2 linked regions of the Danio rerio genome follow. The protein of the gene in region 1 interacts with the protein of each later gene in a pairwise test. Links are inferred from orthologs where the notes say so. Each region holds a gene or a part of one and is shown in the gene's direction. Other genes may lie near its edges.

Evidence for each region. The genes of interacting proteins can lie anywhere in the genome.
Region 2: the proteins of fbxo7 (region 1) and psmf1 interact in binary tests that used the Homo sapiens proteins (3 or more experiments, as listed by UniProt). The link is inferred for Danio rerio from reciprocal best matches to the Homo sapiens genes FBXO7 and PSMF1.

Annotation. Positions count from the first base shown.
Region 1 is NC_133179.1:946,616-952,855, forward strand, and holds part of fbxo7 (F-box only protein 7), read left to right. Parts: intron 1-2,575; coding exon 2,576-2,893; intron 2,894-2,995; coding exon 2,996-3,140; intron 3,141-3,524; coding exon 3,525-3,608; intron 3,609-3,744; coding exon 3,745-3,840; intron 3,841-3,952; coding exon 3,953-4,129; intron 4,130-6,240. UniProt on the Homo sapiens protein: Substrate recognition component of a SCF (SKP1-CUL1-F-box protein) E3 ubiquitin-protein ligase complex which mediates the ubiquitination and subsequent proteasomal degradation of target proteins and plays a role in several biological processes such as cell cycle, cell proliferation, or maintenance of chromosome stability.
Region 2 is NC_133181.1:54,456,366-54,463,026, reverse strand, and holds the start of psmf1 (proteasome inhibitor PI31 subunit), read left to right. Parts: upstream 1-2,414; 5' UTR 2,415-2,745; coding exon 2,746-2,874; intron 2,875-4,484; coding exon 4,485-4,637; intron 4,638-4,721; coding exon 4,722-4,804; intron 4,805-6,661. UniProt on the Homo sapiens protein: Plays an important role in control of proteasome function. Inhibits the hydrolysis of protein and peptide substrates by the 20S proteasome. Also inhibits the activation of the proteasome by the proteasome regulatory proteins PA700 and PA28.

The DNA of each region.
Region 1 (6,240 bases):
TGGCACAGTTTGATCACATTCCTATTTATGAAAATTTTTTGCAGTCATTTTCTACTATGTGCTTGATTTATATTTTTTCTCCTAAGTTCTCTCTGACTTTATTAGTGTTGGCTTTAATTGTTTCGGCCATTCTCTTTAGTTCCTCCTCCTGGTTTACTTTTTAATCAATAACCAGCCTATTTCTCTACTTTTTAATATTGTGCTGGCAGCTTTCAGTTTACTAACACCTTTTGTGATCTGTAAACGTTTTCCTTTTCTACATAACCTCTGAAGTCTTTAATATTGAAAGCTGTTTAAGTTTCTTTGGCTTTTTTAGGCAAGTGAATTACCACCAGTTAAAGATTATTCCATCATAATATATTAAGGTTGTTTTACTTGGAGGCAGGCACCCCTAGTCCTCTTGAGATTTGGGTGACTCTGTTACTGTTAACAACGTTCTTGTTGCTTTTAACTGCTTTAGTTTTAGACTCTTTCTTTGAGTTTCTCTTGTCTATGATTTCTAGTCTCTGTTCTGGGGTCAGTTTTGCCCATTCCTCTTTAGAGACAGAGTCATTCTCTCCAGATTTTTGTTTGAAATCCGTTTATTTGTATTTACTTTTATTCTTCCTTGTGACCTGAGGCTTTTGGCTCTGGTGTTTTATATTCAGCTATTAGTCTTTGCAGTTTTTCAGTAATTATCTTTTTTTTTCTTTCTCATCTAATGGCAAAGTTCATTTCCCCCATGATGTTTGCGGCCCTAAAAGTTTTAGTCTGATAATCCAGGCACTAAATCTGTCACCTCTTGAACTTCCCTTATCTGTGCATACACTGAATTCAGTCTCCCGTCTGTCTAAGCAGTATGGGTAAACTCCTATTTATTTTATTGTTTCAGCCCTTTCCGCCCCTCATCTTGAAGGGCTTTACCTAGTATTGTCCCTAGCTGCAGCCTTATCTTCTTCTTGGTATGATCATTGCCTTAATTCGTCATCAGCTTTGTACAGTTCACCTATTCTGATCATTCGTGAGTTTTGTCTGTAACCGATGCCCCTGGGGAGAATGTTGTTTATGTTAACAGGTACGGAGCCCTGTTGCTTAACTCACTGACCCCCTGAGATTATCTTATTTTTGTACTCATCCCCAGCATCACTTATTTACGGACTGAGTGCTCCTCTTCAGCACAGCAGTTAGTTTCAGAGCTTGGCTCACTGGAGACTCATTCGGCAGCGGGGTCTCATGTTTCTTTTTTGCCTTTGTTATCTTCTGCTGTCCTCTTACCTCTGGTGAGCTTTCTCTAGCAAAATAATGTCCTTATTTTCCCTAGTTTTGGGTCTTGTTTGCTTGATGAATCTTCATCCATTAATCCTGGCCAAGTCATTCCACTGATCATCGCTTGTAATCCTTCTGCCAAATCACAGATCATATCTAGTTTGGCCTTCTGATTTATATCAGTTCATTTTTATTTTTCGTCTGCTGTACAAGATGAAGCTAGATATGTCATATCAGCATTCTCTTTGTTTCTGCCCTCCACCTTCTTTAGGTGAACTTTGAACCCAGGTGGGACAGTGGCATCCCCAGAACATCTTAGGATTTGCCAGAAGAGGCCATGCTGAATCTTGGGGTGGCACACACACAAAAAATCAGTGTAATGTTGTATTTATGTTTCTGGTAAATGAAATAATGTGGTTTTAATTCATTTTAATTAATTATTCTTGAAATATTGCAATTTATTTCTTGAAATAATTCAGCAAGTACATGCACAAACCAAATAAAAGTCAATATTTATATATATATAAAACTTTTCAGTTATTTTTTACAGTCTTTTATTGTACAGTATATGCCATGTCTAAAATTAATGAATAATTTAATAAAACAAACAAATGATGAACAAACTGAACAAAAGACATTACTACATACACACACACCCACTATACAGATTAATAATATCATTTATCCATATTCCTTTTTGAGCCACAATATTATTAATACAGCTTCCTCTATTGATGTACCTTAAGTTAAATATGAAATTGCCATTGCTGACTATTGAAGGTGTGTGCGGGCTGTCAATGAAGATCGAGAGGGGGAATAGCAGTGAATCTGCTACGCCAGTGGCACCAATCAATCCACAATAATTTAGTGGCTGCTATTTATTTATTTATTTATTTATCTATTTAAGTACTTTAATAATGTCAACAGCAAAATCATATTGTGTTTACACTGTGGTGGCTGTGGTGGTGCCCCTGAGGTGGGAGACGATTTCTTTGAGTCCCTGTGTAGCATTTTGTGTACAGAGTGGCCTACGAACTCTAAGTGAGTGTTGAAGTTGGCTTCTGCTGATGAAACTACAAACTATCTTCAGCAAACTTTCTTTTTAACTGAATCTCTAACTCCGGTTCTTCTTCATCAGACAGACTTTTCATTTTTGGGTTAAAACTGTTGGTTCCCCTTATAATTCTGAAACTGCACTGCTGGGGTTATCTTACAAGCCATGAAAATAAAAACAAAAAGACAAACGGACTGAAGCCATGACTTGGCGTGTGTGTGTGTGTGTGTGTGTGTGTGTGTGTGTGTGTGTGTGTGTGTGTGTGTATGTGTTCAGGCTGGTGGATCACATGTCAGCAGTAGCAGCAGTGTGATGGAGCAGCATGTGCAGGAGTGTGTGGATCAGGATCTGCTGGAGCGTGTGGATCAGCAGCAGGAGTGTGTGGATCTTCAGCAGGACTGTATGGATCAGCAGCAGCAGCAGCAGGAGTGTGTGTGTGCTGCGGCTCCTCCCCTGCTCTGCTGTGAGGCTGAAGACGGTCTCCTCCCTCTCGCTCTGGAGCGGCTGCTAGACTCCTCCACCTGCAGAAGCCCCTCCGACTGCCTAATGCTGGCGCTACACCTGCTGCTGCTGGAGACCGGCTTCATCCCACAGGTGATATCCACTTCACCTGGGCTATGTTCTTTCTATCCTAAAGGGAAAGTTCACCCAAGAATGAAAATGTCCTCTGTATTTACTCTCTCCTTCTCGCTTCAGGGCGGAGCCGTGAGCTCAGGGGAGATGCCGATTGGCTGGCAGGCCGCAGGGGGTGTGTTTAGAATCCAGTATGTCCACCCTCTGCTGGAGAACAGCCTGGTGTCGGTGGTGGCCGTGCCCATGGTTCAAACTCTGGTCATAAATGGTAATATACACCGTATGTAACACTGATATGTTCAATTTAAGTGTATTTGTAAAGTGTTTTTTACTATTATTATCATTCCAAAGCAGCTTTACAAAGGGTGCACATCATTACATGACAGTCGACATTAGAACAGTGAAGTGACTTAGTTTTTACAGCTAAGATTTCTTTTATTTAATGTTTTTTATCCTGTAAAAATGCTTTTCCTAGATTTTGTTGTCTCGTTTCTAGTCCAGAGATGTCGAAATTCTTAAATCAAGAAGCATTTTCTAGACAAGCCAAAAATATAGTGGTGTTTTCTGAAGTAATGAGTGAAAATTTCTTTAAAACAAGCAGAATAATCTGCCGATGGGGGAATAAAACAATCTTGTTTTTGCTTTTGATCAGCCGTCCTGAAGATGGAGACGAGTTTGGAGAATTCCCGCAAACTGCTGCTCAAACCTGACGAGTATGTGACAGCTGAGTGGACAGGTGAAGCTCACACACACACACACACACACACACACACACACACACACACACACACACACACACACACACACGCATTAATCATCTGTAAAAGCACAGCAGGATTATGGACTGAATGACCTGCCATGTGTGTGTGCAGGCGGCAGCTCAGGTGTGGTCTACAGAGATCTGCGCAGACTCTCTCGCCTGGTCAGAGATCAGCTGGTGTATCCGCTCATGGCCACTGCCAGACAGGGTGAGTGTGTGTTTACTGTTCACACGTGTGTGTCAGAGTGCTTTGTGTGCATGTACTGTTCACACGGGTTTGTCAAAGTGTTTAATAAATGTCTTTGTGCATGTGTGTATAGCTCTGGGTCTGCCTCTGCTCTTCGGTCTGCCTGTTCTTCCTCCTGAGCTGCTGCTGCGTTTGCTGCGTCTGCTGGACGTTCGATCTCTCGTCTCGCTGTCGGCTGTGTGTCGGCACCTGAACACCGCCACCCATGATGCTTCACTCTGGAGACACCTGCTGCACAGAGACTTTAGGGGTAAATGCGCAAATATACACTTTAGGATGCACGATATGTCTGTGGCCATATCAATATCGGCTGACAAATGCTAGTTTTTTTTAAAGGTTTAGTTCATGCAAAAATTGTAATCAATCATTATATACTCTCCCTCGAGTGTTTCCTAACCTTTGACTTTCTTTACTCTGTTGAACACGAAAGAAAATATTTAGGAGAATGCTGAAAACCTGTTACCATTGATTTGTGTAGGAGGATAAACAAATGCTGCGTCCTAATTCGCATACTAAAACAGTATTTAAAAAAATAATTAGTGTATATAGTGAATATTAAAGATCAATAATAATGTTTATTAATATTCTGAATTAACTTATAGTTAATTTGACTAAATAAATATAACAATGATTTTGCCCGCTCGTCTGAGCAGACTGTAATTATTTATTTATTTAGAAAGGGAATTATAAGTATTTGTCAGGGCCGGATTGGCCAATCAGGAGGACCGGGAGAGTTTCCGGTGGGCCGGTCCGTTTTTTGGCCGCGAGGGCTGGTGTTTCTAGCTGCTTGCACTCTCAGCAGTTGCACTTTTTTTTTCATTTATATATTTATTGAACAAAGCCTCACTCTTTTTATTCATTATTTTGCCGCAGCTCCGGTTATTTATTGTCTCACAGCCCCATGAGCAAAATGCAGCCTGCATGTAATGATGATGTAATTATTATTCCGGCTAAATTATTATTATTATTTTTTTTTTTTTTTTTTTTTTTTTTTTCATTTTTATTGTTGAGACATATCAAACTGTACGGTTGTTGAACATTTAAAGTTCTAAAGCAGCTGTTTTCTTGAAAAAGACATGATAGCATAATTAGAAACTGAATTGGAAATGACCTTATATTAATATAGTCAGTCGTGAACTGAGGTGGGCCGGTCTGCTTGAAACTCCAGGGCTGAAAAGGAGTCCCACTCCAGCCCTGCTACATGTGATGTAGATGAATAGTTTAGACGTTTTGGTAAACTGTAAACTTGTTTTAGTAAAGCTTGTAGCAAACGCTCTGTCGTTAAATTGACCTTTTCTGTGAGGCAAAACAAAGACAACATGGTTATAGCCTGATTTATTGACTAGTCTAACATATCAAAACAAACGTACAAAACATAACAACAAAAACATATAAAAGAAGCAAGCGAGCAAATAAAGAGTTTAGATAAAAGAATGGCAAATCTAGTTCAGTTCCACACAACTGTTAAAGACTCCTAAACCCTTCTGCTCCAATGTCTGGGAGAAAATGGGTTTTAACTATGGGTCAAGTCACACCTATTTTCTACTGAGTGACCAGTGGTTTCAGGGCAAGGATTTGAGCGTTTGACCGTTGATATGCATAATGAGGGTCGTCCCTGAGCATACAGCTGGACCTTACCTCTGAGCATTAAAGAATGCAAGCTGTAAAAGTTATTGTCATATGGTTGTAAAATAGCAGGAGAAACGTAATGCTACTAAACACGACACTCTAAACGCACATCAGATAGCATCTAGGCATTTCTATACTATATAAGATCAAAAGGGACTTCATTAACGCATGCATATACTATTTTAATTACTTTAGCTTTAGGGCAGAGCATATAGATTACAAACACACATTACATTTCTTTTGGAGTGAGTTTTTGAGTTCTAATCGTTCTTTCAGTTGTGTGTGTCTTTGGGTGGGTGTGTGTGTGTGTGTGGGGTGTTGGAACAGTTGCAGGTTTTCCTTTGGAATGTCTTGGCTTGCAAAGATGCACCAAAGGGACACAAGTTTCTCCCTTCTCCCCATCTGTAATATAGATTAAACAGCAGCAATGGGTCCCCAGTTTCCCTTATGCATCCCAGGTTAAACGAGGTGTCATGCACAGCGACCTTTGTCTCTAGACTTTCTGGAGCCTTTAATCATGAATCTCTCACCGATAAGAAATATGGTATTTAGGGGTAATCCAGTTCTTCAACTGTGACCCATATGCAACAGTAGCATGTGCAAAAGTGTATGCCGACGGTTCCTTGTGGTTGTACTATTTCAAGTAGAAATTTGAAGTGTAGAACCCTTTATTTAAAATTATCGATAGCCCCACATGTAATTTGCGCACACAGAAATCCTTTAAGGCCATAA
Region 2 (6,661 bases), on another chromosome or scaffold:
TGGCAAATGCCAGAAGGGCCAAACCATTTTTTAAATGTGGGCCGGTCAGCTATTATTTTATTAATTTTTTTTATATGTATTGCTTTTACATGCAAGCAGCTTTTATCTCTTGCAAGATGTGAGTATTATGATGATGATGATGATGATGATGATGATAATAGTAATAATAATAATAATAAATGTTAAGCATTGGCCCAATTGGCAATGACCGGCTGGTTTTAAGATGGCCAGAGCCAATTAGAGGTTACGTGGACGTAATCAAAATCTGGCAAGAATGTCAAACAAATAGTAAGTGCAACACAAGCTAACTGTCAGAAATGGACCATAAAAAAGGAAAGGCGGTGCCGAAAAGCTCAGAGAAAGCAAAAAAAATTAAATAATAAAAATTAAAAAATTAAAACACTGCCAAATGCCTAAAATTAACTGAAATAGTCTTGAAAGAGGGCAGCGCAGGGGTGCAAGAAGGTTGCTTTTTCGAGCCTCGGCTGGGTTAGTTGGTGTTTCTGTGTAGAGTTTGCATGTTCGCATGGGTTTCCTCCTGGTTTCCCTCACAAGTCCAAACACATGTGCTGTAGGTGAATTGGGTAGGCTTAATTGTCCATAGTGCATGTATTTGAATGTGTGTGTATAGAGGTTTCACAGTGGGTTGCAATTTGGAGGGCATCTGCTGCGTAAAACATATGCTGAACAAGTTGGCGGTTCATTTCGCTGTGGTGATCCAGATTAATAAAGGGACTAAGCTGAAATGATAATGAATGAATGAAACGATTGTATATAAATTCGTTTTTGTTCCAGTCACATACATTAAATGTTTAAATATCTATTACATATATGGTACTGCTTATATTATTTTACCATCAGGACACCAATATAAGTAGTGAATGTGCGTGTCCGTGCATGGGGCTGTGTCAGTGTGGTAATGTGGGCTGGTGTGGCTACAGTGCCAGGGCTGATTTTTAGTCCCAGTCCGCCCCTGACTGCACAGTTGGGGAATATTTAACTGTTCATAAGGTAGATGGCCTGAGGAAAGAAACTTTTCCTGTGTCTACTTATTTTTGTGCTTGGTGCTCTGAAGCGCAGACCAGACGGTAATAGTTCAAACAGGTAGTGTGCTGGGTGCGAGGCATCCAGAGTGATTTTGCGAGCCCGTTTACTCACTCTGGAAGAGTACAGTTCTTGAAGTGTAGGTAGGGTAGTGCCAGTGATACGTTCAGCAGTCCGGACTATTCGCTGTAGTCTACGGAGGTATTTAGCCCCATACTATACTAAAACTGTAGTTAAATGGTCGGTTCGCTAAACAAACATTACAATAAATAAAAAGTAACACTTGTATGTCCATTTTCAGAAGGAATATGGTTTTGACTAAGAAAATTAATTATAGCCTATAACTTTAAAAAGTTATGTAGGCCCTAATATATGGAGATATATGGCGAAATAAATAAATACATATTCATAAATAAATGCTGTGTTCACATTACGACATAAAACGCCCACTATTTCAAACATTTCAAATAATCTATCAAATCCACTGACTAAAATTTATATAGGCTCATTAACAACAGCTGCTATGTTATACATGTTGGGAAATATCAAAAACTACTTACCTTAAAAGCGTTACGGTAGCTTAGTGGTTAGCACTGTCGCCTCACAACAAGGTCGGTTCGAGCCCCAGCTGGAATGGTTGGCATTTCTGTATGGAGTTGGCATGTTCCGTTGGCGTGGGTTTTCACCGGGTGCTCCAAATACATGTGGTACAGGTGAAATAGGGTATATGCCAAAGCATGCAAATATGACTTTTAATTTGCCATTAACCTGGGTTAAGCGCTTCCGGCCAATTGAATGCCAATGCAAAATCGGTGCGTTTAAGGTCTGTTTCCTTTAAAAATCAGCGATCTTTACTAGCAGAATTATATCCGATTTAAAGTGGGTCTCAGATTGTACAAGAAGCACTGCATTAAATTGCATGTTCCCCCGCCATGTCTTTATAATATGAACATTTGTTTTACCCCAGTATATTCAATGGAGTTTCTGCGCTAGTCTGCCGATTCTGACGGGCGCTTGCGAGTAATCGGCTTTTTGTCTCGTTTTACGCTTGAACTACTAAATAAATGTCAAATTTTATTGAACTGAATGTATTTTAATGACATTACAACATCAATACTGTAAAAGGAACCATATAAAACGGAAACAAGTTCACAATAACAGGTCACTGTAAGTTAATCAGTATGGGAAAACACAAGCTCGGCATATACCCTATAGAACAGTAACGTTAGTGTTTGTGTGTGCATGAGTCTGCATGGATGTTTCCCAGTATTGAATTTGCACTTGGAAGTGCATTCGCTATGTAAAACATATGCTAGTTAAGTTGGCGGTTCATTCCGCTGTGGCGACCTCTGATTACTGAAGGGACTAAGCCGAAGGAAAATAAACGAATGAGCTATCTTCATTATAATCTTCAGCGGAATGAAAGTTCAGTCTATTGTTTCCAGTCGGGAATATTTCTCGTCGGACCGCTTCACCATGACCAACAAAAATATAAATAACGTTAAACATTTGTCGTCTTAACTTCTAAATTAACCTATATTTCATTCAAAACGAACAAGCATTAATATTTATTTGAATATTAGTTATTGCCGCATCAGCAGCTTGAACACGCCATGCATCCTGAGTAAAGTCGCGCTTTATTTTCACTCAGAGAGCTGTTTGTTTTGGTTTCATTTCTAGAGAATTTGAGTGTGTTTAAAGATGGCAGGACTGGAGCTGCTCTTTAACTGCGTATCAAACTCTTTAACGTGTTCTCAGGATGCTCTGATTTGTTTTGTACACTGGGAAATAGTGAAAAGTGGCTATAAATGTATGGGCATTGGAGATGAGGTAAGTGAACGTTGATTTTAATCGTATAAACGTACTTTATTTAATCTGTTACAAAACATAGCCATTGATGTACATTTGGCACAGAAAAGTATTCTGTGCAAATTGTAAATAGTGAAGTCCTATATATCAAAGTACAACATTGTTCGCAGTCCAATGAATAGTGCTAATGTTGTTTTAAGTCACACTTACACTCACCGGCCACTTTATTAGGTACACATCTCCAATTGCTGGTTAACGCAAATTTCTATTAAGCCAATCAAATGGCAGCAACTCAATGCATTTAGGCATGTAGACATGGTCAAGACGATCTGCTGCAGTTCAAACCGAGCATCAGAATGGGAAAGAAAGATGATTTAAGTGACTTTGAACGTGGCATGGTTGTTAGTATTTCAGAAACTGCTAATGTATAGGGATTTTCACACACAACAATCTCGAGGGTTTACAGAGAATAATCTTAAAAAGCGAAAATATCCAGTGAGCGGCAGTTCTGTGGGAGAAATCAAAACAAGCGGCTGTTCAGAGGTTGAAGGAGAATGGCATGACTTTTTCGAGCAGATAGAAAGGCAACAGTAAGTCAAATAACCACTCGTTACAACCGAGTTATGCAGAAGAGCATCCCTGAATGCACAACACGTCCAACCTTGAGGTGGATGGGCTACAGCAGCAGAAGACCGCACAGGGTGGCACTCCTGTAAGCTCAGAACAGGAATCTGAGGCTAAAACTGACACAGGCTCACCAAAATTGGTCAACAGAAAATTGGAAAAATGTTGCCTGGTCTGATGAGTCTCGATTTCTGCTCCAACATTTGGATGGTAGGGTCAGAATTCGGTGTCAACAACATAAAAGCATGAATCCATCCTGCCTTGTATCAATGATTCAGGCTGGTGGTGGTGGTGTAATAGTGTGAAGGTTATTTTCTTGGCACACTTTGGGCCTATTAGTACCAATTGAGCATCGTGTCAACACCACAGCCTACCTGCGTATTGTTGCTGACCATGTACATCCCTTTATGACTACAGTGTACCCATCTTCTGATGGCTACTTCCAGCAGGATACCGCACCATGTCATAAAGCACGAATCATCTCATGGTTTCATGAACATGACAATGAGTTCACTGTACTCAAATGGTCTCCACAGTCACCAGAACTCAATCCAATATAGCACCTTTTGGGATGTGATGGATGTGCAGCCGACAAATCTGCAGCAACTGCGTGATGCTATCATGTCAATATGGAGCAAAATCTCTGAGAAATATTTCAAGTACCTTGTTGAATCTATGCCACGAAGGATTAAGATGTCCAATCTGGTACTAGTAAGGTGTACCTAATAAAGTGGCCGGTGAGTGTACATGTGATTTTAGAACGAATATTGAAAGTACCAAGGTAAATAATATTATAGGGAGGCATGTCACAAGTTGTAACTGAATCATTGTGCAAATTTAAAACCAACTTTACTTCAATGACCAAGCAGCTGTGTATAACTCATATAAAACATGTATCTTTTGAACAAATACAGAGCCAACAGGCATAATTACATACTTGACTAGTTTGATTTTTGAGCAAACTCATAAACGTTTGACGCATTATATACATGATGAACTTTACACAGCCTAAAGATGGAGAGAAGAAGACAGAATTGCTTCCTTCAGGCTGGAATGAAAGCAAAGAGCTTTATGCGCTCAGATACAGATCAAATGATGACAAATCCAACCTACTGCTCAAAGCCTTCACTGTGGATTCAAGCCTGATCTTCAATTTAATGGTAATAAAGTTGCAATTCAATCATAACTGCAATGCATTTCTTTAGATGACAGTCAGTGTTTTACTTCTTTTTTTTTTTTTGCAGGATTCCACGACAGAAAAAGTGACTGATCTCACAGTGAACCTGAGCGAGTATGTTGACGAGGCCAATCTGCACACATTTGAAAGGTTTGTGAATTTAGCATTTTCGGATTCATTTTCAGCTTTCAGGCCAGATAAAATGCCACAAACTGTCTTTATTGTGTAATGCATTGCATTTTAACAACTCAATGCAGATTAATTGTTTTGTGCAAAATGGTGCAACTTTAGATTTATAAAATTACAGTTGCAGAATCACAACAATTGAAATGTAAATGCCTTTGAAAAAGTCATTATTTATAGTTTTAAATATTACAATTTTTTAAAAGTTATGTTAGAAAGATCCATAGTGGTGGAAATCACATACCAATAAATTTGCGATGATAGAAGCCGTACAGATACGGTGGCTCAGTGATTAGCACTGTCACCTTACAGCAAGAAGGTCGCAGGTTCGAGCCCCGGCTAGGTCAGTTAGCATTTTCAGTGTGGAGTTAGCATGTTCTCCCCATGTTCGTGTGGGTTTCCAGGTGCTCCGGTTTCCCCCACAGTCCAAAGACATGCACAATAGGTTTATTGAATAAGCTAAATTGGCTGTAGTGTATGTCTGTGAATGAGAGAGTATGGGTGTTTCCCAGTGTTGGGTTGTGGCTGGAAGGGCATCCGTTGCGTAAAACATATGCTGGATAAGTTGGCAGTTCATTCCGCTGTGGCGATCCCTGTTTAATGAAGGGACTAATCCGAAAAGAAAATGAATGAATGTGCCATATACTGTCTCACATCATGAATCATAGAACGGTAGAAAGTATCTGAAGAAATATACTGAAAAAAACTCAAACTTAGAACGAGAATCATTTGATGACTCTAACATTCTCGAGTCATTTTGAACCTTTATACATTGCCAAAAATATTTTATTTTCACAAACGTATGAAAGTAAAGACTTGCATTTATATTTCCCATGAAGTCCTTTGAAATGTAAGTTTTTTTAATTCGATGTTTGATCTCAACTGAAACATGAAGACAGGGCAGGGGTCCATTCTTCGTACGTGGATTACTCAGTTAGCTGGATTTGGATATTGACGATTTGACAACATCCAGGATCGTTTCGTTCTTTAAAGCTGATCCAAGAGTTGTTGTCAAAGCAACAGTTCTGCTAGGTCAAACCTGATCGGGGGCAGGTTCAATTCATATAAACAGGATTAGAACCGGCTCAGTTCAAGCAAAGATAATAAAGTATGTTCCGAATTCTGATATTTTCTTACAGTAGTAGTTGTATACACTTGGGAAAATGGTAAATATTTTAACTATATATATATATATATATTATATATATAAGTTATAGTTATTAATAAAATAAATATAGTTATATATATTAATAAAACTTATGCAATCTGCACCCTCAAAATGAAAGTTCAAAGACTGCCCCCTGGTGGTGTGAAGTGAAAACTTATTGATTAAACTTTTTAGATCGCTTTAGTACAATGGAGTTTTTTTTAAAGCAGTAATACATTAATGCAGTCATAAACATGTTTTGATAGTTATGCCAGTGATTTGATGCTTCACAAAAGTTGCAGACGCCTTTACCAATGTCAAAATGCTTTTGTAAACATCCAGTTATTCTTTACACCGATTAAAAAAACGGCTACTATAATAAAGAAAATCTTTTCTAAATGTAGAACTAAATACATTGATTTGCATTGAAATACATGAAGAATACTCTTGACACATGAAAGTGTAAAGCCTGCAGCTCACAACAAATGTGGAAGGTTATTGCGTTTCATATTCAACAAGCCATTTACTGCTAATTTGATGTAATTTTGCTCACATGGATAATTAAATATTAATCAGATGATGTCATTACCATGCTGTGCCGTCAGCCAATCGTTGCATTGCTGATCATGATTTCGAGGATCGATAGATCTGTCCTTCACAACACACACAGCGATCTC